3 linked regions of the Stegostoma tigrinum genome follow. The protein of the gene in region 2 purifies or fractionates together with the protein of the main gene of each other region. This does not show direct contact. Links are inferred from orthologs where the notes say so. Each region holds a gene or a part of one and is shown on either strand. Other genes may lie near its edges. The genes, in order: vesicle-associated membrane protein 3-like, stx8 and syntaxin-7-like.

The links.
Region 1: the proteins of stx8 (region 2) and vesicle-associated membrane protein 3-like purify together in Homo sapiens (co-immunoprecipitation; 3 studies listed by BioGRID and IntAct, with this or other methods). This does not show direct contact. The link is inferred for Stegostoma tigrinum from reciprocal best matches to the Homo sapiens genes STX8 and VAMP3.
Region 3: the proteins of stx8 (region 2) and syntaxin-7-like purify together in Homo sapiens (affinity purification with mass spectrometry; 5 studies listed by BioGRID and IntAct, counting the BioPlex papers as one, with this or other methods). This does not show direct contact. The link is inferred for Stegostoma tigrinum from reciprocal best matches to the Homo sapiens genes STX8 and STX7.

Annotation. Positions count from the first base shown.
Region 1 is NC_081381.1:24,203,847-24,214,439, forward strand, and holds the start of vesicle-associated membrane protein 3-like, read right to left. Parts: upstream 6,222-10,593; 5' UTR 6,115-6,221; coding exon 6,113-6,114; intron 1-6,112. UniProt on the Homo sapiens protein: SNARE involved in vesicular transport from the late endosomes to the trans-Golgi network.
Region 2 is NC_081375.1:31,213,615-31,224,207, forward strand, and holds the start of stx8 (syntaxin-8), read left to right. Parts: upstream 1-4,051; 5' UTR 4,052-4,140; coding exon 4,141-4,157; intron 4,158-5,117; coding exon 5,118-5,217; intron 5,218-10,593. UniProt on the Homo sapiens protein: Vesicle trafficking protein that functions in the early secretory pathway, possibly by mediating retrograde transport from cis-Golgi membranes to the ER.
Region 3 is NC_081357.1:71,867,169-71,877,761, forward strand, and holds the start of syntaxin-7-like, read right to left. Parts: upstream 4,959-10,593; 5' UTR 4,856-4,958; intron 4,679-4,855; exon of another isoform or gene 4,595-4,678; intron 4,573-4,594; exon of another isoform or gene 4,471-4,572; intron 4,330-4,470; exon of another isoform or gene 4,207-4,329; intron 3,964-4,206; exon of another isoform or gene 3,942-3,963; intron 1-3,941. UniProt on the Homo sapiens protein: May be involved in protein trafficking from the plasma membrane to the early endosome (EE) as well as in homotypic fusion of endocytic organelles. Mediates the endocytic trafficking from early endosomes to late endosomes and lysosomes.

The sequences.
Region 1 (10,593 bases), on a different chromosome or scaffold from region 2:
TTGAGTTATGGAGAGGCTGGGTAAGCTAGGACTTTTCACTGGAATATCAGAGGTTGAGGGGTGGCCTTAGAAGTTCAAAATCATGAAGGATACAGGAAAAAAAATGACCAAAAAAAGAACCTTTCCCCCTGGGTGAGTTCAAAACTAGGGGACTTTTTTTTAAGAGAGGGTGGAAAAAGGTTTAAAAAGCGAGACAAAGGGTATGTTTTTCACAAAGGATGGCTCATGCATGGAATGGGCTGCTAGAGGAAGTGGTGGATGCCAGTACAGTTGCAACATTTGAGACACATTTGGACAGGTATATGAACAAGAGGGGTTTTAGGGGAATATGGGCCAAGACACAAAGGCAAGCAGGACTAGTTGAGTTGGAAAACTTGGTTGACACGGTTAGGTTGGACCAAAAAGGGTCTGTTTGTTTGCTGCATGACTCCAGAGACCATACTGTTATATAGAGTGGTGTCTTAACCTTCCTACTCCAGTAACTATCTATTGACCTCTACCCCCACCTAAAGATTTAACAATGCACTGATCTTCAGTTTAGTCTGTCTTCACTGCATGGTAACAGGCAATCCTTAGAACTAAGACTACTATACGTTATATAGTGAATTGCTTCATAATGAGTTGATCTTAGCCCAAAAGTCACTTACATTTAGCTTCAAACTAAAAAAAAACAAAGACGCCTCCTAGTTTGGAACATAACTTCATTGGTGCAAGGTCAGAGGTCCTGAACAACATTCAAAAATCAACCATATAAAAACACATCATATCCCCTGTGAACACTTCCTGCCATGAACAAAACTAATTAATTGCATGCACTGTTCATCTGGGCAGTAAGGAAGTGTCAGCTTTGCCAATCCTATTAGTGGGGAAAAAACACCAAGGCTTCTTTTAAAAGAGAGTAGAAACTATACTAAAAAAATTCAAATCACTATCATAAAAAAACTGAACTGTCAACAACTGCAAGCAGCAATTACCAAGGAGGTCACTGGGAGAATGGTCATGAGAGAGATATTGATGCAGTCAGATGGAAATGAATCACATAATTATAACTAAAGGATCATGAATTTCCACATCTATATTTGGTGACAATGTTTAGGACCCAGTGTCCCTCATCTCTAACTGTGTGGCATTTTCTACAGGCCGAACGACATTAACACGTGAATATTAACCACAGCCCTACTGCAACAGTTTATTATGTAGTGGTGTCAGTGGTAAGGCATCCATGTGCACAGTGAATTCAATAGGTGCTTTGATATCCAAATTTAAGACTACAAGTTAGAAAGACAGCCACTAATTCCCATTTTTATCATTGTGCAAGGTATTACAGGCAAGACCAGCAATTACAGCTTTTCCTCATTTGCCCATGGCAGTATTCAGTCATCTTGAATTGTCTCCATTTGTATCTGTGAAGGCGTGCCAATAGTCCCACTAGATTTCAGGGTTTTGATCTAATGACAGCAACTGTCAATATGTGTACTGGTCACGATGACAAGCAACTGCAGAAGGAATGACAGACAAAAATATTGAGCGAGTTGTTCCATTCATCTCACAAGCATTGAAGAGTTTCACCTTCAGGATATCTTTATGATATTAAACTGAAATAATTTATGCTTAGGTCTGTCTGGTCAGATGAAATTAACCACAAATAGAAGAATAGAAATAAGATTGACACTCATGATTTACAGCAAGGTCCTGGTATATCTGCAACGGGCCATCATATTTTGCTAAATGGCTACACAAAGTATTTCACTAGGTGAGCACTCCAGAATTGAGAAAATGCAATTTGTTTTATTTATTGAATACAGCTGAAGAGCTGGACAAAAGGTCTCTGCTATTGAAACAGCAGGCACAATGTAAAAACTAGCCACATTTTTAACAGACTGGTTGGCTCAATACCAATTTTTAAACCATTGTTAAAAGCAACGTAAAAAAGTTTTGCTACAAGGGCCCTGTAACAAGACAGGGCAGGGAGGGGTGCTTTCTTCCCAAATTCCATGTACACCATTTGGGATTATAGAATCTTGGGTGAATTTCAAAACAAAAAATGCTTCACAATTTACGATAAAGCAAAAGAGGATCATGTGTTTGTTAGCTCAAATTAGATCAGCATAACTGCAAGACTGAAGGGCAACAAAATGTTGGACACATTCAGTGGGTCAGGCAGCTTTGAAAAGATCAATCCAACTCAAACTTCAACATTCTCAGTCTAGTCACACCCATCAGGTCAAACAGTATTTCCAGCTGTTATCGTTTTCATGTCAGAGCGCGAGTGTTACAGGGCTTTGCTTCCTTATGAAAGCAGCCTGCTGAACAGGAAGAGCCTCAAAGCAATAAAAAAGTCTGGCATCCTGACTTCAAGCAATATCTGTTCACCCATCTCCCTGTTGTCAATAACCTACATTTGAGATTAACAAAGGTATAGTCATGTTCTCATTCTATTTTTGCAAACCCATCCGTGGGATCAGTCTTTCCAACCTTACAATGCTCCCAAGAATGCACCCCTCAAACTGTGTATTCCTGCACATTTTAGTATTACAACATACATACAACATACAACAAGACAGCACAGAACAGGCCCTTCGGCCCTCATTGTTGCGCCGACATCCTTCCTCTCGCAAGGAGACCAAAATCGATGGCAGTATTCCAAAAGCAGCCGAATCAATGTCCTATATGGCTGCTAAGTGATCTCCCAACTCCAATCCTCAATGCACTGACCGATAAAGGCGAGCACACCAAATGTCTCCTTCATATCCTTTCTACCGGTGGCTGTACTTTGATGGAACTACGAAACTGCACTCCAGCGTCTCTTTATTAAGCAACACTCCCCACAACCTTCAGTGTAAACGTGCTGCCCTGATTTGTCTTTCCAAAATGTAGCACCTCACATTTATCTAACCTCAACTCCATCTGCCACTCCTCATGCCTACGTCCAGGCACCAGATTTCACTTATAATTCTCTCCAAGATGCCCAAATTCTCAATGATCTTGGTTTCCTGCCCCAATATCTAAGCAGTAGCTGGTGAGGAGTCACATGACACCAGGTTACAGTCCAACTAGTTTATTTGAAAACACAAGCTTTTGAAGCACTGCCCCTTTGTCAGGTGAATGAGGGGGGAGTGCTTTAAAAGCTTATGACTTCAAATAAACCTGTTGGGTTATAAACCTGGTGTCATGTGACTTCTGACCTTGTCCAACCCAGTTCAACATACTCATCATACAATGAGTATAATATCAAAAATTTGTTTTATTAAAGGATCTGTGAAGTGCTTCTGGAAGTTTTAAAGAAACTACATAGAATCAAGCTGTTGCTGGAGTAAAACTCATTTCGATGACTGTTGGAGAGCTGTCTGGATAGAGTTCTGCCAAGCACCAGTGGTTACAGAGTCATCATTACGCCAGTTTTTTTTTAAATTTCCAGAATTGAGAGGATTGAGGGAGTGCTGATATTGGTGAGTTATTACACTAGGTGTTATTTGAGAGATAAGGAGGGGTTTCAAACAAATTAGATTTTTCCTCTTGAAATTCAGATAGGCTAGTTAAAGTAATGCACAGAAAAACAAAAACACTAATAAATAAGGGTGCAGTCAGTCTGATCTCAGCCAGAACAGCATCATAAGCAGGTGGACTTTAAGACATTTAGGCAAGTCCAGTTACAGGTCGACAGGGTAGGCTCAGGCCATTTTTGCACCACAAACTCCACCATCGCTGTCAATGCTCAAAATATCCACACGGAAGCCAGGGCAATTTGCACTTGTGTTTTGCTCCACAAGTGATAGTTTCCTTCTCTAACTTAGGAACCAAGTTTAATGCATTCAACAGCATTTGGAGATTGGAAACAATGGTTAATTTTTTTTGTTAAAGCTTGTTTGGATTTTGTCCTTTCCAATGGGAAATGTCTGAGAAGGGAACTGCATCCACAAACACCATGTAAAGTAGTAGAGACAAAATCATGAAGATTTAGTTGTTGAAAACAATTTGATCAGATCAGCAAATTTCAACAGTCTTACACCTAAAGTCTATTGATCCTGTCCTTAAAACACATTCAGCGATCCTTGCCTATCTACATTTGGAAATGGAAGCGTTAGCACAGCCAATGCTTATCCTTGATTTCAAATCTTTCCATGACTTCACTACTTCATGGTCTTCACCTCAAGCCTTGCAACTGCCTCCTCACTAGTTTTTAAGTACTTAGAACACTAACTTGCACTTGTGCTAATATCGTGACTTAATGTGAAATTGTCTCAACACTGAAGCACTGAAACATTTCACGGTGTTAAAGGCACTGTACAAATAAGCTGTTATTTTACTTGATCAGAGTACAAACAACAATGCAATAAAACAAACTAGAATACTAGATTGATTACACAGCAAACAACACCCTGTTGTTAACAGATCAGGATGTCTCAACATGGTTGTTGAGAAGTTATTTACACATTTTAAGAGTCACATTCTGGTTTCCTTGAGATAGATGGAATAAGTTGACATGTTCCCAAAGTTACTTCCCATTAAATAGTTTAATCTTTCAGTAAAAGTAATATCAAATGAAGATAACAGTGCTCTATCCCCACCTGATCCTAGTCCTGTTCAAACACCATGACTCATTCCACAACAAAAAATTGAAGACTTAATGCAGTTTGGCACAAGTTCACACATCCAATCAAACAAGCACAGCTGAACTATAATTATTTCAAAGGCTAATTGTCTACAATTCTGGCCCAAACAGGCTGACGCCATAGTGAACTGAGCAGTGTTGACGTAGTTTAGTTGCATCCACACACAGGTCTCTCATGAATTATGCTTTAAAGTGACGCTCAGAGCAAATTGAGAATTTGCACCAATAGGGTGCCAGTTACTTCACAACAACTGGTACAATTTGCCACAAGATCAACCAAGTGGTAAAGGAGTCGAGTTTCCGACAATGGCCTTGTAAACAAACCACACTTTACAACAAATTTTTCAAAAGACAGGAATGGTACGTGAACATTTCCCTAAACCATGTTTAAACAGTTGAATTTACTAACACATTCTATTTAAATAGAAGAGGAAAGGAACATACTCAAATCTAAAAGAGAAAAAACAAATTTACTGCCTTTGGAAAGCAACAATTGGGAACCAAAGCATTGATTTGCGTTAATGGAAAACTATTAACTCACGAAAGTCTGACAGAACAGCATGTATCACACAATGCATTTTTGCCACAGTCCACTCTTGCCCAACTTTGAATCAAGCACAAATACAACAAACATCCCCGGAGTACAGGTAAGATGAAGAAATTCAAATTTCTACTTTCAACATTCCAGATTTTACTTGTTATTATAAGCAGTAGTAGTGAGGTAACAGTCCATTAAAGAGAAAGTCCAGAAGAGGATCCTGGAAGACCTCTGCACTTACTGCATAAAAGTTCCTTCTTTCATTTACCAACTTAGAGACCACAAATCCCAAGTTCCTTAAAAGTGAACAAAAAAACCCCAAGTACCCACCATAGAAAAACATTTCACACAATGCCCCAACCAGCTTCCTTTCATGCTAAAGGCAAAAAAAGTGACAAAATGTTTCTTTCAGCTTCTAAATGCAGCAATATCTGGAAGTACCTTGCCTGAACTGATCAACATTAAACAGTAATTCACAATGCAAAAAAAAAGCACCACTCAACTTCATTATATAAAACAGGATCAAAACTAAGACACTTAAAAATACATGAATGAAACAATAAAATATTACAACCACAGAAACTAAATTTAAATTAATTTCATCATGAATTGTAAAGCCACAAGATACTTCCTTTTTCAAAACAGTTCAGCTTATCTCAACTCAACTTTAGCACTTTGGAATATTAATTCAAGGTGTTACTAGTTTAAAGTTTAGAATTTGTACGGAATTTTAACATTTAAGAAATTAAAAGGCTGAACCCTATAAAACCCCTGGTTTCTACGCTGGGGAATTAAAACACAAGTTTGCGGCCTTCCCTCCAAACACAAGCCTGCGGCTCGCCTGGAAACTCAACGGGGCTCCGGACTGCTCTCAGCGGAGCGCGGTGTGGTGTCGGAGATCGTTCCGAAAGGCCGACTTAAGGAAATAAGAAGAAGCAGAAGCAACGTCGAAACGAACTTACATGTTTCCCAGATAAAAAACAAACCGGTCGAATCAGACCCCGAACTGCTGAACCTTACAAGTTGGGTGTTGTCAGCAGGTTGGAGACGTCACCACTTCCCAACCCCCCCCCTCCCCGGTGTCAGCAGTAATAAATCCGACTCCCAACACCGATCCTTCACTTACCCCTTTCGCTGTTACATGCCAATACACCAATGAGGGCAGCCTTTGGGAAAAGTTTAATTGGATGTTTCTAATTACAAAACATGACAGGGAAGCTCCCCACTTGGCTTTGAGCCACCAATAACTTCCATCCGTCGCAGAAGCAATTAACAAGCAAAAAAAATGGACACTGAGGGGGCCACAAAAAGTTGAAAGGTGAAAAATTCAAATATGATTTTGTTTTTAGTACTCTGCCCAGTTAGCTGCGCTGTATAAACCAGAAAGATGATTTTGGTAAGCATTAAAACTGTATAACTTAAGGGAGGAAGGTTTTCTCATGTCACCATGTTTGCATCATAATAAATGTAGGAGGAAAATACTTTATGTTATGGGGAAAATGATGTAATGAGCCTGATTGGTTCCTGAAAGTAGCACCATATACCAAGTTCGTACTTAATACAACATGTAAATTAGATTGATTTAAATATATACAGTTAGAAAGGGAATTTTAGGAACAAAAACAGAAATTGCTGGAAAATTTCTGCACGTCTGGCAGCATCTGTAGAGAGAAAGCAGAGTGAAAGCAAAGTTAACATTTCAGGTTCAGTAACCCTTCTTTCAGTTCTGACCTTGCTCAGGTTTTCCAGCAACTTCTGTTTTTGTTTCTGATCTCCAGCATCTGTAGTTCTTTTGGTTTTCAACTTTAGTTTAGGTCCTTGACAGCTGAAGGCAAGCCACCAACAGTGGAATGATTAAAACAGAGGGGGTTCCAAGGTGCAAACAGAGAGCAGGAAATTAGTGAGGCCATGGAGTGATTTAAAAAGGTGAGAATTTTGAAACTGATTTATTGCTGAAGTGGGAACACTATAGATCAATAAGCCTAGATATGAATGCAAGTTAGAACATAGTAGGTAGATTTTGGATGACCTCAAGTTTACAGCTGTTATGAGGTCACAAATGCATTGGGATTTAAGGTAAGTTTAAAGATAAAAATGCATTGGTCAGGGTGCAGGGTGGAGATAAATTGTGTTGCAGAGTTGGTAGTACACGGCCTTGATGAAGGTGTATATGTGGGCAAAATATGATCCTGAGGGTATGGAATATGAACAGTCTTGGGCAGCCTCAAATAATTACACTGAGATGGATAAAGTCAGTGGCTAATGAATTAAGTTTGTGACAAGAACCAATGACTCTGTGGAAGGGTCACTGGATCCAAAACGGTAACTCTGTTTTCTCCTCCACGGATGCTGCCAGGCCTGCTGAGCTTTTCCAGAAACTTTGTTTTTGTTCTTGACTTTTTGCAACATTTGCTTGGAGAACATTCCTGTTAATCAAGTACTGTATGTTGTTCAACTTTCTGACTCTTTAAGGTGAAGGTGAGGTAGAGTTGGGTGTTTTCAACATTTGGAAATTGACATTGAAAATTTGACAGGATTCACAAAAAAAAGCAAAGACTGACAAAAAATTCCATGTGGAGGGAAAAGTTAGAGTATGAGAGAAAACTAGCTAGAAAAACAAAATCAGATGACAAGAGTTTCTACAGATATAAAACAGAAAATTTAGTATTAGTCCAACAGAAAATGAGTCTGAGGAATTAAAAATGTAAACTAAGCCAATGTCAGATGAATTGAACAGGTATTTGGTACTACACTTTAGTAAACAGGATATAAGTAACATTCTAGAAATATCTTGAAACCAAAAAAAAGTGAAGGCAGGGAGAAAATCGGGAGAATTACAACTGCCAAGAAGTGACATTCAGCAAATTGTTAGAATTGTAGGCTGACAGGTCCCCAAATCCTGAAGGACTTCAGCCTAAGATTTAAACGGAGTGATTAATGAGATAATTGATGCATTCATTTTCATTTTCTAAAACATCCTGGATTCAGGGAAGATTCAACTGAATCAGAAAATAGCAAGCGTAACTTTATTCAAAATGGGAAGGAGACACAAAGCAGAAAACTCTATGGTCAGTTGACTAAACATTTCTCACAGGGAAGATGCTAAAAGTTGTTGTTAAGCACATTAAAGCTGAGCAGTTAGAAACTTTCAAGGTTATTGAGCAAAGTCAATGTGCTTTTGTGAAAGAAAAATCATGATTAACCCAATGGAATTTTTTGAGGAAGTAAGATGCTGTGGATAAAGGGAAACTGGTGAATGTAATATACTTAGACTTTAGAAGGCATTTGCCAAGATACCATATCAAAGATTATTGCGGAAAGTAAAAGTTTATGGTGTAGGGCTAACATATTGGTATGGACAGAAGATGGACTGACTAACATGAAACAGAGAATAGGAATAATTGGGTCATTTTCTAGTTGGCAAGATGTAATGGTAGTTTGCCACAGGAATCAACACTGGGGCCTCAACCTTTTACAGTTTATTTCAATGACTTGAATGAATGGACTGAAGGTACATTGCTAAATTTTCTGTAGACACAAAGAGTATGTGAAGAGGACCAAAGAAGGCTAAAAGGGATTTGGATAGTTTAAGTGATGGGATAAAGATCTGGGAAAATGTCGAATTGTCCATTTTGACACAATAAGAAAGAAGCTTATTATTTAAATGGAGATTGCAGAGCTCTGAGATGCAGAGGAATCTAAGTGTTCTACTGCATGATTTGTAAAAGGCAAGAATGCAGGTACAGTAAGTAATTAGAAAATCCAATAGAATGCAAAAGGATTGAAGAGAAAAATAGGGAGATTATAAGGGGTGATGGTGAGACCACATCAGGAATATCTGTGTACAGTATTGGTCTTCTTATTTAATGAAGATGTAAATGTGTACAAGGTAATTCAGAGAGGTTTAGAAGACTAATATCTGGAATGCATGGATTGTCTTCTGAGGAAAGTTTGGACTGGCTAGACTTGTATCCCCTGCATGTTGGAAAAGTAAGAATGAGTTGAAACATACAAGATCCCGAAAGGTCTTGACAAAGTGGATTTGGGAAGGATATTTTTGTGGGAGAATCAAAAATGAGGGGATATTGTTAATAAATAAGGGGTCATTTATTTAAGGCAACAATTAGGTTGATTTTTTTTCTTGCAGAGGGTCGTGAATCTTTGGAACTCCCTTCTTCAAAAAGTAATGAAGATAGAGTCTTTGAATATTTTTAAGGCGGAGGTAGAAAGATTCTTGATAAGCAAGAGAGTGAGAGGTTATCGGGGATAGATAGGAACAAGGAGTAAATAGATCAGCAAGCTTATTGATCTTATTGAAATACAGAGCAAGCTTGAGGGGTTCAGTGGCCTACTCCTGCTCCAATCTTGTATGTGTTTTCAGATGCTGTCATTGAGTAGCAGTGCCAAGACTTATGGAGAACTGAATGCTGGAGTTGGTGGGAAAGAAAGTTTTAATCTTTTTGTACAAATATAATTCTGTTTGTAGTTAGCTTTTAACTGAAATCTGCAGTTTAAATTAGAAATTATAAACCTTATAATTTAAGATTTTGAGGGATGACCTGACAGAAGTTTATAAGATCATGAATAGCATGGATTGAGAGGTAAGTATGAGGCATTTTCCCAAGATGAAGAGATCAATTACCAGGGAACACAGGTTCAAGGTGCGAGGGATGGGGGGGAAGTTTTAAAAGAGGATGTGTGAGGCACGTTTTTCACACAAAGGGTGGTGAGTGCCTGGAACGTGCTGCCAGGGGAGGTCGTGGAAGCAGGCACAATAGCAGCATTTGAAAAGCACCTGGTTGAATACATGAATAGGAAGGGAATAGAGGGATACTGATCTTGTAATTGAAGACAGTTTTAGTATGGAAGGGCAAAATATGTTGGCACAGGCTCGGAGGGCCAAAGGACCTGTTCCTGTGCTGTACTGTTCTTTGTTTTTAACCAGGTCTCCTGGAAGTACAACTGAGATGAGTTAAATTCAATCTGCTGAAACTAGTTTCTCTGTAGCTGTATCAACTAGGCCTTTTGTACTCGGAGCATTACTTAACACTTTCCAACTTAGTGCGACTTTCCAAATGAGAGTTTTGGAGGTTGGGTGGTTAAGGAGTTAGGGGAAGAAAGGAAAGAAATGCTCTTTTGATTTTACTTTTTCTATTTAAGAAATTGGCTACAGCAGAATAAGTTCGTCATTTGGTGAACATCGAGCAAATGACCAAGGTGTAATCTATTCCTAAAGTTCAAAAGTGTGATAAAATTAACAAAGTATATTTTAAAAATGGGAAAATGTATAAATGAATAAAATAATTAAGTAGTTAATTAGAACACATTAAGAATGGCAGGGTGGGTGATTTGTCACAGATGTAGCATTTGGGAAGCTCCTGGATGCCAGCTTGATCCAGGACATGCACGTCTGCAGCAAGTATTTGAGATTTGAGCAGATTTG
Region 2 (10,593 bases):
AGTCTAGATAGATAACATCTACTGGGTTTCCCTGGTCTAACATACTTGTTACCTCTTCAAAGAATTCTAACAGGTTTGTCAGGCATGACCTCCCCTTACTAAATCCATGCTGACTTGTTCTAATCTGACCCTGCACTTCCAGGAATTTAGAAATCTCATCCTTGACAATAGATTCAAGATTTTTACCAACTACTGAGGTTAGGCTAATAGGCCTATAATTTTCTACCATTTGCCTTGATCCTTTCTTAAACAAGGGGGTTACAACAGCAATTTTCCAATCATCTGGGACTTTCTCTGACTCCAGTGACTTTTGAAAGATCACAAACAAAGCCTCTGGTATTTCCTCAGCCACCTCCCTCAGAACTCTAGGACGTAGCCCATCGGGGCCAGGAGATTTATCAATTTTTAGACCTTTTAGCTTTTCTAGCACTTACTCTTTCGTAATGCCTACCATACTCAACTCTGCCCCCGACTCTCCCTAATTGTTGGCATACTACTCATGTCTTCCACTGTGAAGACTGACGCAACGTACTTATTAGGTTCTTCAGCTATTCCCTTGTCTTGCATCACTAGCCTTGCAGCATCATTTTGGAGTGGCCCAATGTCTACTTTTGCCTCATGTTTGTTTCTTATGTATTGGAAGAAGCTTTTACTATCATTTCTAATATTACTGGCTGGTCTACCTTCATATTTGATCTTCTCCTTCCTTATTGCTCTCTCTGTTATCCTCTGTTTGTTTTTGTAGCCTTCCCAATCTTCTGATTTCCCAGTGCTCTTGGCCACTTTATAGGCTGTCTCTTTTTCTTTGATATATTTCCTGACGTCCTTTGTCAGCCATGGCTGTCTATTCCCACCCCCGATAATCTTTCTTTTCTTTGGGATGAACCTCTGTACTGTGTCCTCAATTACACCCAGAAACTCCTGCCATTGTTGCTCTACTGTCTTCCCCGCTAGGCTCTGCTTCCAGTCGATTTTCGTCAATTCCTTTCTCCTGCCCTGTAATTACCTTTATTTAACTGTAACACCATTATATCCGATTTTGCCTTCTCTCTTTCAAACTGCAGACTGAACTCTACCATATTATAATCGCTGTCTCCTAAGTGTTCCCTTACTTTAAGGTCTTTTATAAAGTCTGGCTCATTACATGGCACTGAGTCCAGAATAGCCTGCTCCCTTATGAGCTCCATCACAAGCTGTTCCAAAAAGCCATCCTGCAAACATTCCATGAATTTGCTTTGTTTGGATCCACCGGCAACATTATTCACCCAGTCCACCTGCATATTGAAGCCCCCATGATCACTGTGACCTTGCCTTTCTGACATGCGCTATCTATTTCCCGGTGCGTCTTGCGCCCCAGGTCCTGATCACTGTTAGGAGGTCTGTACATAACTCCCATTATAGTTTTTTTGCCTTTGTGGTTCCTCAACTCCACCCACACAGACTCCACATCCTCTGACCCTATGTCATTAGGTGCTGTAGATTTATTTTCATTCTTAATTAACAAGGCAACCCCGCCCCCTCTGCCCACCTCCCTGTCTTTTCGATAAGTTGTAAATCCTTGAATGTTTTACTGCCAGCCCTGAATTCCCTGCAACCATGTCTCTGTGGTGCCTACCACAGCATAATCAGTCAAGAGGATTTGTGCTGTTAATTCATCTACTTTGTTGCGAATACTACCAGCATTTAGGTAAAGTGCCTTAATGCTAACTTTCTTATCATTGTTAGAGAGATTGGAAATCCTAAAATGTCTTAAGCTATCCTTTCTTTTTGCTGTATTCCCCATCTGCCTCGAGCTGAAACCTACCTGTACACATGCTATCCTGTTGGTTATCTTATATTGCAACTCCGCCTCTCATTCCTTAGACGACATGTTCATTGTGGGCCTCCTGCAGTGCCACAATGATGCCACCCGAAGGTTGCAGGAACAGCAACTCATATTCCACTTGGGAACCCTGCAGCCCAATGTCAATGTTGATTTCACAAGCTTCAAAATCTCCCCTCCCCCCACTGCATCCCAAAACAAGCCCAGCTTGTCCCCGCCTCCCTAACCTGTTCTTCCTCTCACCTATCCCCTTCTCCCATCTCAAGCCGCACCTCCATTTCCTACCTTCCAACCTCATCCCGCCCCAGTGACCTGTCCGTCCTCCCCGGACTGACCTATCCCCTCCCTACCTCTTCACCTATACTCTCCTCTACAGGCGCCACCCCCGCCCCTTTAACTTGTCTGTCTCCTCTCCACCTATCTTCTCTTCCAACTATCTTTGATCTGCCTCCCCCTTTCTTCCTAATTATTTCAGAACCCTCTCTCCATCCCCCTTTTCTGATGAAGGGTCTGGGCCCGAAATGTCAGCTTTTGTGCTCCTAAGATGCTGCTTGGCCTGCTGTGTTCATGCAGCTCCACACTTTGTAATCTCGGATTCTCCGGCATCTGCAGTTCTCATCATCTCTGATAAAGTTATTACGTTGCTCAATGAGGAGTAACTGCCAACGTTTTATATTAGATGCATTCAGTATTATTTGATGAGAAACAATATTTAGGGCTCTAGGGGGAGGGCTAGTAAATGGCACTGAATGATACGGACATTTAAAGGGTTGTGCAGACATGGTGGGCTGAATGGTCTCCTTTCCTGCAGTGAATATTCTGTCATTCTGCAAGTTATTAAAATTATTTTGATTTTAATACTTTTATTTCCTGTTTGGACTGGTTATGACAATTATTTCAAGTGATTAGCTATTTGGACTGTTCAAAATGCCTGGAGATCCACTCAATCCCCATCAAAAATGCTGCAGTCAACTGCATTGTGAAAAGACTCAAGTTCTGTTCACTGAAATTGCAAGCTCTTTCAAGAAGGCTTTCTGTGAAATCAATGATGAACATCTTTGTTTAATTGTTAGCCCAATATCGAAGCCAATCTGGCAGCTGTAACTTCTGAAATATCATTTGTTTATAATCTAACAAGTAAATATGTACAATTAATACTAACTTGCTTCACTATATCCATACCATGAAACAAAGTGAAAGTAACTTTTGGTTCTTATTCCTTCCAATTTTAGAGAATTTGAAAATCTGATACTTTATATTGCACAGTTGGTTCATTAATGTGTATTTTATTCAAAATATCTTGAATGATCTGTATATTTCTAAAATAATTATCTGGTAGTTATACACTCCACTGATTTTAAAATTAGCAGATTTTCTCCCCTGAACTTTTCATGGGATTTTGGTGACATTGACAAGGCCAGCATTTATTGGCCACCTCTCATCGCCCCAGAGAAGGTGATGTTGATGGTGTCTCCTTGAATACTGCAGCACACTTGAGAGGACTGTCATGTTACGTTGTGTATGGATACCCAGCACAGTGCTGTTTGGAAGGCAATTCCAATGTTTTGATCCAATGATGCTGAAGGAATGTAGAACAGAACTGCAATGTCATTGATTCTAAAATGCCCTCTGGGAAATTAGGGATGAGTAATAAATGCTGGTCTGCCCACCAACACCCACGATCCCATGAATGATTTTCTTAAAAGGCAGGAGAATGTGTGGCTGAGAGGGAAACGTGGTACTCTTAGCTATTGGCAACTTTCAAAAGTTAAATTATTCACATAACTTTTCCAAAGTAGGAAATCATGATGTTCCATTGACTCAACTCTGATTTCCCCTCAGTTTGTGCAGGACCAAGGATGGTTGTTGCAGATTTGGCGTCATTTACTTGGGCAGGTAATGGAAAGAGAGAGGGAAAGGGGCAAGTGACAAGGCGGGGGGAACTAGAGGGGCAGGTGATAAGAAGATGGAGAGGGGAAGGGGCAGGTGACAAGGCGGGGGGGAACTAGAGGGGCAGGTGATAAGAGGGAGAGAGGAAGGGGCAGGTGACAAGGCGGGGGAGAACTAGAGGGGCAGGTGATAAGAGGGAGAGAGGAAGGGGCCGGTGACAAGGCGGGGGAGAACTGGAGGGCCAGGTGTGGGGTGAGGGTTTGGGAGGCTGCGGAAGAGGAGGTGGTTGAAAGGCGAGAAATCTCGCCCGGAACCAAAGTTCCGGGAGGTTGTGACATTTGGTGCCGAAATGTGAGACGGACAGAAACCAGGAAGTAAAGAGCAACAACAACAACAACAGAGAGAGTGAGAGAGAGAGAGAGATAGAGATGGCCCGGGAGCCCTGGTATGGGAAATGGGAAATGGGAAATGGGAGGGGTTGGTGGTGGTGGGTATTTCGAACCCGCTTTTTCATATCAGCCGCCTCCGGTTCAGCCGATTGCGGTTGTTGTGCGAGGGAAAGCCCCACAATCTCAAAGTGGGTGAGCTGTGCTGTGTGTGAGAGGAAAACATCCTTTAATCAGGAATCTTTACAGCACCGGGTTTGTGAGATGTCTTTTGTAAGGGGCAGGGCTCAATACCTGTATTGACTCCGGGTTAAACCCCGCCTAGATTAAAAAATTCTCGTCCTTTTCAAATGCTCCTGTAACATCTGTCCTCTCTGTACCCACTAAGCTCTGAAATTCCCTTCCTAAATCTCTCTTCCTGTTCTATTGCACATATCTCGTTTAAGTTGCTGCCTAAAATCTCCCACTTTGATTCTTCTCCTGGTCATCTGTCCATAATGTTCTCTTATGTGTCTCCGTGTCAAATATTATTTTGGTGATGCAGAGATGTGTTTTCTTGGTCTGTAACTTTAAAGAGTATATTATTCACTGTGATCGTATTTGAATTGGCGTTGCTGGTTTAAACGCAGTAAGATCCCATCAGGCGCAAATGAACTTGTTTGATCATGCGAATTTGAAGGTCATTGAGAGCCCGTCTAATTAAGCAAGAGACCTTTATATCCACTTAAAACGTGAGAATAGACAGAAGGGGGATGAGTTTAACATGTCAGCTCGGTGACAGCATCCTGAAGTTTGCAGCAGCTTCTTCATGCTGTGTGGATCTGTCCAAGTAGTTCAAGTCTTTGAACATGTGAGAAAGAGACTTGAAACTTATCCTGTGACATAGGCAAGGGGGTAACCAAAACTGTCATAGGAAAATGCTATTAGAATATATTTCAGTGCTGTTTAAATTTGCGTTCTAAGCATTTTAATTTGATTCACGTTTGGATATCTGTAATCGTCTTTCTCTTGTTCTATAGGTTAATGAAATATGATTCCTCCTGTCATCTAGCACAGGAAATTGCTGAAAATATTCATGAGCGTAATAGACAGAAGACAACAGGAGGTAATCCTTCCAAGGTAAATTAAGTGATGGATACTATTATTTTACAGTTCCTCTTAACAGAAACATTATAAAATCTCAACATCACGCCTGCCCAGTAGGCATTATTTGTATGAAATTTTAAATGAGAAAACTATACACTAGGTTTAATTTTAAATTTATATGTGATTTATACATGTATTTTTATTCTCAATATTTTTGTTTTGTGTGTTTCTTATTCTTAAAACTTAGCAATATATTGCCCGAACAACCTGACACCCCTCGGATATCCTTGGTAGGGATGTAAGCTAATTAATTTTAACTTTCAAACATCCTTCATAGAGATCTACAGCACAGAAAAGGGCTCTTTGGCCAACTGCATCCACACTAATCAAAAACAACTACCAAATTTACTCTAATCCCATTGATTCTGGGATGGACATCAGTAATTTATAACTACAGTGGAATCAACTGCAATTTACCAGCTTCACTGGCTCCATTCTGAAGCCGACACAGGACCGCCTATTAGTCAGTGGTTTCACCTCTAATTCTAACCAATTTAAGGAAATGTGGACTCTAAAGAAGTTGTTAAATTTGAAAAGGTTCAGAAAAGATTGACAAAGATGTTGCTGGGATTGGAGAGTTTGAGCTATAGCGAAAGGCTGAATAGGCTGGAGCTGTTTTCCCTGGCGAATCGGAGGCTGAGGGGTGACCTTTACAGAGGCTTATAAAATCAAGAGGGGCAGAGATAGGGTGAATAGCTAATGTCTTTTTCCCAGGGTAGGGGAGTTCAAAACTAGAGGGCTTTGGTTTAAGGTGAGAGCAGGAAGATGTAAAAGGGATCCAAGGGCAACTTTTTCATGCAGAGGGTGATGTGGGTGTGGAATAAGCTGCCAGAGGATGTGGTGGAGGCTGGTACAATCACAACATTTAAAAGGCATCTGTATGGGTGCCTGAATAGGAAGATGTTTGAGGGATCAGAGATAATGGGGATTGCAGATGCTGGAGAATCCGAGTTAACAAAGTGTGGAGCTGGATGAACACAGCAGGCCAAGCAGCATCTTAGGGTCACAAAAGCTTACGTTTCGGGCCTGGACCCTTCATCAGAAGTTGGGGATGAGGAGAGGATTCTGAAATAAATAGGGAGAGAGGGGGAGGTGGACCAAAGATGAATAGAGGAGAAGATAGTTGGAGAGGAGAGTATAGGTGTGGAGGTAGGGAGGGGATAGGTTAGTCTGGGGAGGGCGGACAGGTCAAGGGGCCGGGATGAGGTTAGTAGATAGGTAATGGAGGTGCGGCTTGAGGTGGGAGGAGGGGATAGGTGAGAGGAAGAACAGGTTAGGGAGGCGGGGACAAGCTGGGCTTGTTTTGGGATGCAGTGGGGGGAGGGGAGATTTTGAAGCTGGTGAAATCCACATTGACACCATTGGGCTGCAGGGTTCCCAAGCGGAATATGAGTTGCTGTTCCTGCAACCTGCAGGTGGCACCAGTATGGTACTGCAGGAGGTCCAGGATGGGTATGTCGTCTAAGGAATGGGAGGGGAAGTTAAAATGGTTCGCAACTGGGAGGTGCAGTTGTTTATTGCGAACGAGCATAGATGTTCTGCAAAGCGGTCCCCAAGCCTCCGCTTGGTTTCCCCAATGTAGAGGAAGCCACAACGGGTGCAGCAGATGCAGTATTTCAACCAAATGCTGGTAAATAGGACTAGATTTATTTAGGTATCATCCTCCGACACTTCCGCCATCTACAATCCGATCCCACCACCCAAGATATTTTTCCATCCCCACCCTTGTCTGCCTTCCGGAGAGACCACTCTCTCCATGACTCCCTTGTTCGCTCCACACTGCCCTCCAACCCCACCACACCCGGCACCTTCCCCTGCAACCGCAGGAAGTGCTACACTTGCCCCCACACCTCCTCCCTCACACCCATCCCAGGCCCCAAGATGACTTTCCATATAAAGCAGATGTTCACCTGCACATCTGCCAATGTGGTTTATTGTATCCACTGTACCCGGCGTGGCTTCCTCTACATTCAGGAAACCAAGCAGAGGCTTGGGGACCGCTTTGCAGAACACCTCCGCTCGGTTCGCAATAACCAACTGCACCTCGCAGTCGCGAACCATTTTAACTCCCCCCTCCCATTCCTGAGACAAAATGTCCATCATGGGCCTCCTGCAGTGCCACAATGATGCCACCCGAAGGTTGCAGGAACAGCAACTCATATTCCGCTTGGGAACCCTGCAACCCAATGGTATCAATGTGGACTTTACAAGCTTCAAAATCTCCCCTTCCCCCACCGCATCCCAAAACCAGCCCAGCTTGTCCCCGCCTCCCTAACCTGTTCTTCCTCTCACCTATCCTCCCACCTCAAGCCATACCTCCATTTCCTATCTACTAACCTCATCCCGCCTCCTTGACCTGTCCATCTTCCTTGGACTGACCTATCCCCTCCCTACATCCCCACCTATACTCTCCTCTCCACCTATCTTCTTTTCTCTCCATCTTCGGTCCACCTCCCCTTGTCTCCCTATTTATTCCAGAACCCTCTCCCCATCCCCCTCTCTCATGAAGGGTCTAGGCCCGAAACGTCAGGTTTTGTGCTCCTGAGATGCTGCTTGACCTGCTATGTTCATCCAGCTCCACACTTTGTTATCTCGGATTCTCCAGCATCTGCAGTTCCTGTTATCTCATTTGTTTAGGATATCTGGTTTGCATGGACGAGTTGGACTGAATGTCTGTTTCTATGCCGTACAACTTTATGACTCTATCCTTGGAATTATCATTGCCTTACAGCTATTTACAAATTTCTCAAATCCAGGATTTCCCATTTCTATTATGTTTGTTAAACATTTTGCAACCCTAAATTCATAGTTATACTCCTAAAACATATGAATCACGAAATGAAACATTTTTACAACACAACAATGGATTTGATTAAGAGCAGCATCTTTTTCCTTCAAACAATAGGAATGGTAAACTGACCTGCTTTTGATGCAGCTGAACTTTTTCATTTCCTTTGATTTATTTTTAGATCCATACTGCTGTATTGTAAAGATAGATTAAATTGCTTTGAATTATCAATTGGGCATCTGTCAGTTTTGTTCAATGCTGCAAAAGTTTCATACATGGGCCTTAGGAATGATAGATTTTTGTGGGCAAAATCACTTTTTCCTAGTTTCAAATTTTCAGTATTTAATGACCACAATGTTTCTTTCAGATCAACAGTGAAGTTAATAGTGCTGAGCTGTGTTTAGGTACCTATGGTACAACAATTTTGGGCATGGTTAAACACCATTTTTAACAAGTTGCTGTTCAAAATGTTCTGCCCTGCCATTCACTTCAGTAAAATGGCATTCTGCGTTCCACCTCAACATTGAAAAACATTGAACAAATGAAAAATTGCTGGACAGTGGATAAGCACTAAATTTGTCACAGAACGTTTGAAGTCTTTTAAACCTTTCTAGGAACTCCACCATGCGGTGACGTCTTGTCCAACAAACTGCAACACGGATGGCAATACTGTGCAGAAGCATTGAAAGCAGGAGTGAGAGCAGAATCTTGGCCCCCTGCTCCTTCCTGCTTTGGCCCTTCCGCCTCCCTCATCTTTCCACATTCTCCACCTCAGGAGAACAGTTTTCCTCTCTACTCAAAGGCCTGTGGCTCCAGGATTGGTCAGTGAGTCATCTGAGGAGCCACAAGCCTCAAGGTGAGGAACTGAAGATGACAAATTTCACAATTTTGCAGTCAGCCTGCATAAGTAGTTGTACAGTTGTCTGTCTGTTTTCCCAGATGCGCAGTTTCTGTTGCTATGGCTTAGTTAGCTCACACTTAAAGTAAACTACCATGCAAAACAACCTTAAATATGTAAAGACAAGTTTAACAAATAGCAGATGTCATTAGATGTCCTACCACTGCAAATTAATGACAGGTGTTTGTATGCAAGTTTCATATTCTCTGTGATTATCATTAATTTCACTGTGAAACAAAGCAGTGTTCAGTAATAACCAATTCATCTGGAAGTGTTTTATTTTGATATGAATGTTCCTTGTATAGCTGAACACTGTGATGGTATGAAAGTGAAGAAAGTTTTATTTTCTGAGAAATGTGCTCTCCTTTCCCCAATTCTGGGCAAAGACTTTGGAAAGGGGTTTAATTACAATTGTCATTTTCTGGGATTTCAGCCGCAAATGCTTCTGGAAAATGAATGGTGAGATATTTATTGTTACTTGCTCTGTGTGCACTGTAATTGTTATTTCATTAAGTTGATGTTTGGAATATAGTTCATTGATGGATTAATTCCTGGGCTTCTTTGAAATGCAGCATGAACTATGCTGAGTCAGAGACCAATAAAAAGATTCCAGTATGAAATTAACTGCTGATTTAAGGTTATTAATGACAAATGCTGTTCACTCGTTTCCAAGTTTCTTCAATACTTTGTATTATTGAAAGTCTGACCTGAAAGCAACAGGAAAGTTTCTAGTCGGTGCGAACAATTTACTTGCATACATAATGTACTCTTTCTATAAGTTGTTTGATTTTTTAAAAAAAAATGGACAGTTACCATTATAAACAAAGAAACCCTAATTGTATGTTCCCAGGTATGAAATTTTTGTGATTTGAAGATTTGTACTTGGAAAACGCAGCCTGGTTTTAGTTGACTGCAGAAATGTAATCCTTGGCGGAGAACACAAGAATTATATTTTCACCCACAAATCATGTATATAGACTGTTTGTTTTGTTTTTCAATGTACATTCAATTGTTTATCTATAATTTAGAAGACAAAGAAAAGTGATGGACAGATTTTCAGTTCCATCAGCACTACACAATTGACATCTTACTCTGTACCTGGAAAATTTTATGTCTTTAAAAAAAGACCACTGAATCCATCTAGTAGAAAATGCAGCTGGTTGCTTTCCAGACACATTCGTCTTTTATTAGACTTAGTAGCAGTGCTGCCAAATGTTACAATAATTTCAAACTTAATTGCACTAGATTTTCATGAATGTAGCAACTGAGTGCTTCAGCAGACATGTGACATGTTTTGCGCAAAGTAGACCAACTGATCAGAATGTTATTTGTTGAAGGATTTTATTATCTAGTTATATATTGTTTATACGTGAATGTTTTTATTTTAATGTAAGATAATCCCCAAATGAAATGAGCATTGATCCAGGTCTAGAACTAAGTGGATATTTAATACATATACATATACGGCTAGTTTTTGGGGCGAAATGCGCATTTCCATAGCAACCATATGCTGAGAAATAGGTTAACTCTGTTGATACAGTTTCAATTTACGCCTGTCAAGTCAAATTGCATTAGATAAACTTCAAAAAGAGTGACAAGGGATTGATTTATAAAAAAAATTCTTCCAGATAGAAGTGCTGTTGTCATCAGCATTCACAAACGT
Region 3 (10,593 bases), on a different chromosome or scaffold from region 2:
TTTCAAAAATCCATCTACCTACCCTTTAAACATATTCAGTGATTTAATCTCTACAGTTCTCCAGGGTAGAGAATTACAGATGATAATGGGAACTGCAGATGCTGGAGAATCCGAGATAACAAAGTGTGGAGCTGGATGAACTGCCTCCAATAAAATTAAATTCCTTTCTTAAGGAAGAGACCAGAATTATCCACAATACTCCAAGTGCAGCCTCACCAACACTCTGTTACAGTGGAAGAAGGCTTCCCTAGTTTTAAACGTCACACCCTAGCAATAATTCCAGCCAAAATTCCATTTGTATTCTTAAATATGTAATACATCTGAAATGCTAACATTTAGTATTTCAGGGACAAGAATACTCAAATCCCTTTTGCTGCACTATTTTGGAGTCTGTCTCCATTTAAACAATTGCCTACCTCTTGATTCTTCCTACCAAGTGCACAACCTCAATATCCTACATTAAGCTCCATTTGCCAACTTATTTTGCCTATTCATTCAACCCATCTATATCCCATTGCAGATTTCGTGTCCAAATCACAACATGACCTCAACACCTATTTTTATATCAGCAAAACTGCATTTGTATAATCTTCTCCCACCTCCAAATCATTAATATAGAATGTAAACAAATTGAGGCCGTAGAGCTGATGCTTGTGACACTCCACTAGTTATGCCCTGCCGATCTGGAAAAAACCCATTAATCTTGACTTTGTCTTCCCTGTGTTCACTAATCTTCAGTCTGCACCAATACAGTACCAATACTGTGAGCTCCTGTCTTGTGCAATTACCTTTTATGCGGCTCTTATAACCTGCCATTTGAAGTTACTTTAAATTATAGCAAAGTGTTTATTTTAAGAGTAGAAAATGTATACAAATGAATTTCAAATATGTAATATGCTGCCAAATGAAGATGATGTTATACCTTAAAGAGTAGTGGTAATTGAACTTTAATTAATTGATTATGTAAAGAACAGAGGCACAATTGAAGAATATTAAAGAAATATGCCAAGGATATCAACTTCTGTCAGTCAGCAGGCTGATCATAAAGGAATTGTACTAGAAATGCGTAATTTGCAAGTGCTCACGACAACAATAATTTTTTATAAACTAAACCAAATTTAATACAGAATACCCCCAGGATGAAATAAAAATTACCAACCACAATTCAAAATGAACAAAGTTATAACTTCTAGCATTCAAGTTTCAAATTTCAAGCATCTTCTACTAAAAATCAGTGGCTCATATATAGATCTTGCAAATACTATATAAACAGAAATAAACCTAAAAAAATGGTTTAATATACCGACTAGGCAACAATGTTGTAACCTAATCAAGAATTTCAGTACATAACACCTGGCCTTCACTGATAATTTAGATCAATGTTTACACACTATGCAGGCAACCTTACAACTCAATTCTGACAGCTCATTAGAAATACAAGTTCAAAAGTACTAGTTACTATTCAGAATGTAATAAAACAGAATCACAAGATAATACTCTCCCACCTCTTTCCCCTCTCTCCTCCTCTGCTCCTTCACTGTCAATCCCCCAAGAGAGACTCATGCATTTTCATAATATTTCTTCCTCTCCCCAAAGATTTGATTTCGTATAGTACTTTTCACAACTTAAGACAGTTGAATGAAGTTTCCAGTAAATTAAGTACTTTCAAAGCCACTGTTTTGTTGAGGGGAAAACAATTTGTATACAAAAGACCTACAAACGGTCATATTATAAAAAGCATTCAGTCCGGTTTTAGAACGTCGATTCACAAGGATGCGTTAGTCTGGGTATTAGGGATAACTCCACTGTTCTTCAGAATAGTGTCGCAGGATATGTTTTAGGTCAAAGCAACATGATAGACATGGGAGATAATGGGAACTGCAGATGCTGGAGAATTCCAAGATAATAAAATGTGAGGCTGGATGAACACAGCAGGCCAAGCAGCATCTCAGGAGCACAAAAGCTGACGTTTCGGGCCCAGACCCTTCATCAGAGAGGGGGATGGGGAGAGGGAACTGGAATAAATAGGGAGAGAGGGGGAGGCGGACCGAAGATGGAGAGTAAAGAAGATAGGTGGAGAGAGTATAGGTGGGGAGGTAGGGAGGGGATAGGTCAGTCCAGGGAAGACGGACAGGTCAAGGAGGTGGGATGAGGTTAGTAGGTAGATGGGGGTGCGGCTTGGGGTGGGAGGAAGGGATGGGTGAGAGGAAGAACCGGTTAGGGAGGCAGAGACAGGTTGGACTGGTTTTGGGATGCAGTGGGCAGGGGGGGGGGGGGGGGAAAGAGAGCTGGGCTGGTTGTGTGGTGCAGTGGGGGGTGGGGACGAACTGGGCTGGTTTAGGGATGCAGTAGGGGAAGGGGAGATTTTGAAACTGGTGAAGTCCACATTGATACCATTAGGCTGCAGGGTTCCCAGGCGGAATATGAGTTGCTGTTCCTGCAACCTTCGGGTGGCATCATTGTGGCAGTGCAGGAGGCCCATGATGGATATGTCATCGAGAGAATGGGAGGGGGAGTGGAAATGGTTTGCGACTGGGAGGTGCAGTTGTTTGTTGCGAACTGAGAGGAGGTGTTCTGCAAAGCGGTCTCCAAGCCTCTGCTTGGTTTCCCCAATGTAGAGGAGGCCACACCGGGTACAGTGGATGCAGTATACCACATTGGCAGATGTGCAGGTGAACCTCTGCTTAATGTGGAATGTCACAAGGGAGAACACGCATCATCCTCCGAAACTTCCGCCATTTACAATCCGACCCCACCACCCAAGACATTTTTCCATCCCCACCCCTGTCTGCTTTCCGGAGAGACCACTCTCTCCGTGACTCCCTTGTTCGCTCCACACTGCCCTCCAACCCCACCACACCCGGCACCTTCCCCTGCAACCGCAGGAAATGCTACACTTGCCCCCACACCTATCCCAGGCCCCAAGATGACATTCCACATTAAGCAGAGGTTCACCTGCACATCTGCCAATTGGTATACTGCATCCACTGTACCCGGTGTGGCTTCCTCTACATTTGGGAAACCAAGCAGAGGCTTGGGGACCGCTTTGCAGAACACCTCCGCTCAGTTCGCAACAAAAACTGCACCTCCCAGTCGCAAACCATTTCCACTTCCCCTCCCATTCTCTAGATGACATGTCCGTCATGGGCCTCCTGCACTGCCACAATGATGCCACCCGAAGGTTGCAGGAACAGCAACTCATATTCCGCCTGGGAACCCTGCAGCCTAATGGTATCAATGTGGACTTCACCAGTTTCAAAATCTCCCCTTCCCCTACTGCATCCCTAAACCAGCCCAGTTCGTCCCCTCCCCCCACTGCACCACACAACCAGCCCAGCTCTTCCCCCCCACCCACTGCATCCCAAAACCAGTCCAACCTGTCTCTGCCTCCCTAACCGGTTCTTCCTCTCACCCATCCCTTCCTCCCACCCCAAGCCGCACCCCCATCTACCTACTAACCTCATCCCACCTCCTTGACCTGTCCCTCTTCCCTGGACTGACCTGTCCCTCTTCCCTGGACTGACCTATCCCCTCCCTACCTCCCCACCTATACTCTCTCCACCTATCTTCTTTACTCTCCATCTTCGGTCCGCCTCCCCCTCTCTCCCTATTTATTCCAGTTCCCTCTCCCCATCCCCCTCTCTGATGAAGGGTCTAGGCCCGAAACGTCAGCTTTTGTGCTCCTGAGATGCTGCTTGGCCTGCTGTGTTCATCCAGCCTCACATTTTATTATCTTATGATAGACATGGCCTCAGTTTACACCTCCGACAGTACAGCGTCTCCTCGGTGTTGCTATCGAGTTTTAGCCTTGTGTTTTGTGTTAAAATTCTGGAATGGCATTTAAGCCCAAATCTTTCTGACTCAGACATCTGAAAAATACCAAATGCGCCCCACAGCTAACATAAGATTGCAAATTTCTCCCATGTACACCAGTCACTTACGATTCTTTGCTAAATAACCCACCATCACCGGCAAGTTCGACGGTAACTGTCAACAAGGGAGGGTTAAGAGAGCCCGAGCTGTTCTACATTATGTGTTGAAATAAACAGAAACGGAAATCTCAGCCTTGTGGTCACACAGAAACCCAGGCGCCCCGTCAGAGTTGCTGAACACGGTGAGAAATCTGAATAACTGGGAAACCTTTTTACTGCCACCCCGGTTAGGGTCAGAGAAATCACCGCTGGGAGAGGGGAGGGGGAGGCAAACCTGGGACTGTCTGGTCATTCTTGTCGGTTGGGATCAATTCCTCCACACAGACGCACTCATAAGAACGTCCTTCAAGAGAGTTCCCTGGCTCAATGCTCCCTTCCTCACAAACAGCTCTATACTAGTTACAGGGCGAGGAAAGGGAGCGGGGAGGTGGGGGTGGTGGGACTGGGGAGAGAAGGGGCTGATCTCCCCGGATCAAGGGAAAGGGGGGAACCGGCAGAAACACTGGACTGGACAGCGCTGGGTTGGGCTCTTACCCACCGGGGTTGGCTGCTTCCGAGGCCCGGCCGCATTTCCAGGCGGATCCCTCCCCCTCAAGGCTCAGAGCCTAGCCTGCCTACCAGCACCAACAAAGACCGGGAGATCAGTGTACAGCGGATCCTACCTGTTCGGGACGGTCACTCAACCCCACCTACCCTGACGGTACCACCTCGGCCTCTGACCCTACGCCGGCCCCGCCCCCTTGATCCGCTGACCTTACCCACCCCGCACCGCACCTGGCTGCCTGGCGCGTGCGTAGATTGTCGCTGGCGGCCGAAGAAGGGCCTTCCCTGTCGATATATTGTATCAGATCTGCCCTGTCCTTGAAGGCAAAGGGGAAGCAGTATGTTTCTGGGGTAAAATTTAAGTTAAAAAAGTGACTTGCGTTGGCGTAGGGCTTTTCATGACTTCCAAACTTGACAGCTGATGAAGGGCTTCTGAAACGCAGTCAACACTCGCAATACCGGAAGTGCAGCAGCCACCTTTGTACAAACTCTACAAACACCAACTTTCTAATGACCACCCAGTCTGATGTCGTGATGTTCATTGCGAAATAAATATTGGCCAAGGAAAAAGAGATAACCTCCGCGGACTTTGTCAAAATAGTGCTGTGAGGTCTTTTACATGTACCAGAGGCAGATGGACTCTCAGGCATCTCAACCAACAAGAGTGCTAGAAGTGCAAGATTTTATCAGACCTTCAAGAAGATCCAGCCTTGGTGTATCTACTAAGTTCCTGGAGTGCGATATATCACAGAATACTGAGCTGCTTTAGTGCAGAAGGAAGCCATTCAAGTGATTGGGTTTGCACAGGCCCTCTGGGCTGTTTGACTTAATGCCAATCTCCTACCCTTTCCTCATAAGTCTGCACATTGTTCCCACTTAAATAATCACTTAATACCCTCATGAATGCCTCCATTGAACGTGCTTCCATCACACTTCCAGGTAGTACATTCTAGACGTGAACCACTTGCTCTGTGAAAATGTTTCCTTTCACCTCATGTTTGCCCCTTTGCCAAAACAGTTAAAATGTCTGCCCTTTTCATCCTCTTTTACAAGGTGAAACAGCTTCTCCCTAACTACTCTGTTGAGAGCTTTCCTGATCTTGAAAACTTCTTTCAGATCTCTGCTGAGTGTCTTCCCTCCAAGGAAAATAGTCCAAACTTTTCAAATCTATCACCATTGCTGAGCATTCTCATCCTCATAACCATTCTTGTAAACCTTTTCTGTACTCTTTCTGATATATTCGCGTGCATCCTGATGTATGGCACCCAGACTGTGCATTATTCCCTAGCTGAGTTCCAACTAATGTCTTAAATGAGTTCAGCATAACATCCTTGCTCTTGTGGTTTGTGCACCTATTAATAAAGCCAGGGATACTATATGCTGTATTAACCTCACTCCTCACCTGCTTTCTTGCTTTTAATGAATTATGCACCTATATACCCAGGTCTCTCTGCTCCTGCACTCCCTTTAGAATAGTATCTGTTTTTTACTCTGTCTGTCCCCTTTATATCTGCATGTTCACCTCACAATTCTGCAAATTGAACTTCAACTGCCATTGATACAACCACTACACCAACTTGTCAAAATCCTTTGAAGTTTTATACTGCCATCCACACAGTTTACAATACTTCAAAATTTTTTTATAATTTGCAAAATTTAAAATTATCCCCTGTCAAAAGATTTCACATATATTGAGAAAATGTAGGGGAGGTGATGGCCTAGTGGTATTATTACTGGACTGTTAATCCAGAGACACAGATAATGTTCTGGAGACCTGGGTTCGAACCCCTCCACGGCAGATGATGGGATTTGAATTCAACAAATATCTGGAATTAAGAATTTCATGATGACAGTGAATCCATTGTCGATTGTCAGGAAAAATTCATCTGGCTCACTAATCTCCTTTAGGGAAGGAAACTGCCATCCTTACCTGGTCTGACTTGCATGTGACTGTAGACCCACAGCAATGTGATTGACTCTTAACTGCCCTCTGGGTAATTAGGGATGGGCAATAAATGCTGCCTGGCCAGTGACACCCTCATCCCATCAATGAATAAAGGAGAAAAAGCAATACCAATCCCTGGGAAACACCACAACACTAAGTTTCCTTCAGCTCGAAATATAACCATAGGCCATTACTTTCTGATTCCTGTCACTCTCACAGTTGTGTATACATTATACTCACTGGTACTTTTATCCCACATGTGGCATTGTATTAAATGTCCATTGAAAGACCATGTATACCACACAACTACCTTACCCTCATCACTTCTGTCTTATGTATTCAAAAAAATCCAGTGAGTTGGTTTGATATAATTTTCCCTTAAGAAATCCATGTTAGCGCTCTTTAATTAACCTGGAATTGTCCATGTGACAATTAATATGACACCAAAAATATTATTTTAGAAATTTCCACATCACCAAAATAAAGCTGATTTATAATTGCTAGACATTTCCTTATATCCTTTTTTGAAAAGGGCAAAATGCAATTTTCCAGCCTTCAGGCAACACCCCTGTGTCTAAGGAAAATTCGTCAGTTAGTTTTGAAATGAACTGGAGGCCAGATGCCACTTAAAGAATCAAATAATCAAACACAATCTATATGAAAATTTATTGACGACATGCATTACAATAAAATTAAACATGCTAGCATAAAATTTCAGATTTTTTTTAACCACATGACTATTATCAACATGTACTTGATATTTAACACATACAATGGATATTCTACAACATTTTATTACTGTTTTAACACAGGATCAGTGTATTGACTGTGTGATATTCTTGCTAAATGCTTCCAGGCTCTGGATTGTGCAACCTGGTATTGTTAATCCAATCTGCCATGTGATAGCCAGGTATGTAATTCATGTGACTTAATATTTCTTTGTGATGTGGTTGAGTCAATATCCAATATAACACGAAACTGAAGTGCAATCTCATTTAACTTTAAGAAAAACATTGTACCGGGGTTTGCTGATGTAGAACTAGAGAGTTAAAGTTAAGGATCAAAAGTCCACCCACTTTATTTTCTATAATTGATCTAAATGAAATCAGAAACACATCTACGTAAAATTTACAACTATTTTCTATCAATCAAAATAACTCCAGTGTTTTATGTTCTGTAAAACTTTGCCATTCATTTTGCCATAACAAGAAACATGTTACATAGTACTGCTAAATTTAATGTGATTAATATTTTTGATATGCATTATTTTTTAGCTATTATAATTTTCAATGTGCCTTAAACACCAGCTTAGCACATTCTGAAGTATCCTAGTAAATTCTCTTTGCTGGATTGGCACAAGTAAATGCTATAAGTTTTACATGAAGCTTGGTCCTTTATTTAATCCTTCTTGTGATGATAAGATTTTAGTTTAAATGCACAAATGAAACAACTTTGTCTTGTTGTAAAATAACTCTATTTCCAGATTTTTGAAATGAATTTGATTCTCAGATAGCCTTGATTAGATTTGTACTCATTTTTATTGATTGATAATGTAGACCGATGGATCACAAGTTCAACAGCAACAATTTGTATTTATGGAATACTATTAGCATAGTAAAAGGTTTTAATGTAACTCTTAATGGCATTACCAAACAAAATTTGATAATAAACCAAGCGAAAATAATTCAGGACAGGTGTCTAAAAGCTTAGATAAAGATGCAGGGATAGAATTTTCACTTTGGGTAGAATTGCCAGTTTTGGCACTCATTGCACTCAAAAGTAAACCTAATTTGAAATGTGAAATAACAAAGTGTAGAGCTGGGTGAACACAGCAGGCCAAGCAGCATCATAGAAGCAGGAAAGCTGACGTTTCGGGCCTAGACCCTTCTTCAAAAAGGCCTGAAACATCAGCTTTCCTGCTCCCATGATGCTGCTTGGCCTGCTGTGTACACCCAGGTCGAGACCTTGTTATCTCGAATTCTCCAGCATGTTCAGTTCCTACTATCTCTGAACTAATTTGAAATGTATTTGTTTTGCCAATGACAGAACTATGGCAAGAAATCTGGGCAATTCAAATGAGAAGTGATAATGGGAACTGCAGATGCTGGAGAATCCAAGATAATAAAATGTGAGGCTGGATGAACACAGCAGACCCAGCAGCATCTCAGGAGCACAAAAGCTGACGTTTTGGGCCTAGGCCCTTCATCAGAGATTCAAATGAGAAGCCCAGTGAGGCCTTTATTGACATCGGGAGCAGCTGATTGCTTTTTCCAATAAAATTCCAGTTGTTGAAATGGGATTCTTGCTGAGTATTGGCAACATTCATGTATATGGAGATTATTGTTTGTTTTCAGCCTTGTAATGAAGATCTTGCTACATTAATATGCAACTTCCCATCCTACCTCCTGCTACAAAGAAACTCAATGCTGAGAATTTTCCACATGGAAGTCTGAGCAGGTGCTTGGCTTCTCCAGCTCACCACTTCCACTTCCAGATCACCATCTTGGACACCCAACACCAAACCTCAGGGCACGGTCCGTGGGCAGCTGATGTCCACGGATCTTGTCGTTGGACACTTGTCAGACTCTTTGAATCATCATGGCACATCTCCAATCTAGTTGAGCCATGCTGCTTTGTGGTCATGCGCACCTCAGGGCACACCAACAATTATTGTAATACTGCTGCGAGGACACTGTGCACACATGGACAGACATGCAGCTCACAGATTGAATCAGGCTGCATTTTAGAATTAGTAGGAACTGCAGATGCTGGAGAATCCGAGATAACAAGGTTGGAGCTGGATGAACACAGCAGCCCAAGCAGCATCATAGCAGCAGGAAAGCTGATGGATCTAGGCCCGAAACATCAGCTTTCCTGCTCCTATGAAGCTGATTGGCCTCTGTGTTCATCCAGTTCCACACCTTGTTATTCTTGCATTTTAGAATTGTTCACTTGCTATCATAGTACTCACTTGAGCCTACTTGGATGCTCACAGCATTTAAGCCTTGTCTTGCCCTTTACACTTTGCCACTCAGTCAGAGCTCTGGGTCTGTCAAAACCCCATCTTACTTTGCAATTTAGCTCTTTCACGAAGCCACAACAGATACACAACATACACAAAAGATGAAAAGAAGAAGAAGATGAGCAAACCAAGTTATCTAGATCTAGGACACACTTTGAAAGATCTTAAAATACATAGCAAAACAAAGTGTCATCTCACTTCCCCACATTATCTGTCATGAAAATTCAAATCTGCAGAAATTATTCATCTCTATCAGATCATTAGCTTAAAATTAGCTGATTTTCCCCGGTTCTTTCATATGAGCTATGAAGTTCTTGTGTATGCTCATCCACAAAGCCGAGAGTTAGACTTCCTCAGTTTTTGGTAACCTGCAGATTTCTACCCAAACGCTGCTATTCTGGAAGGGAAACAAAATAAACTTGTTACTGCTGTAACTATGCTTTCCCCAGATTGCTTTATATTTCTTTCCGGGATATGAAGTTTCTTTTGACACCAATAAGGTCTCCTCTGACCCGCCCAAAAACTTGTAATCTATGGTTTTCTGAGGAATAATCAATCCTTGATTACGTTGAACCGAAAACAAGCAAAGACTCTCAACGAAACAGTCTTCTATTTTCACTCCAAGGTCTCCCTGCCCTCTGACCTAAAATGAATTAGGTCACTGTTTCAGAATGACTATTTGACCAAGGTGTTGGATTTTTTAAATCTGCATAAAACTAATCAACCCTATGTGTTGCTATTCTATAACCAAAAATTCTAAGAATGATATATATATCAAAAGACAGACACCTTTCATCACACTACAAAAAGATAACTTGCCATAAAGTTTAATGAAACTGATTTGTGAGATGGAGGGTTTATTGTATAATGAATGATTAAATAAACTGGGCCTGTATTCTCTGGGGTTTAGAAGACTGAGAAGTGATGTCACTCAAATCTATAAAATTTAGCAGGGTTTGACAGGATGGAGGCGAGAAGGATGTTTCCTCTGTCTGGGGTGTCTAGTGCCAAAGTACACAGTCTAAGAATAAGGGATAGCCATTTTGGACCAAGATGGGGAAGAATTTTGATGCTTGAAAATGGTGAACTTTTTGGAATTCTCTGCTGCAGAGACATGTCATTCATTATGTTCAAGATTGAGTTCAATAGAT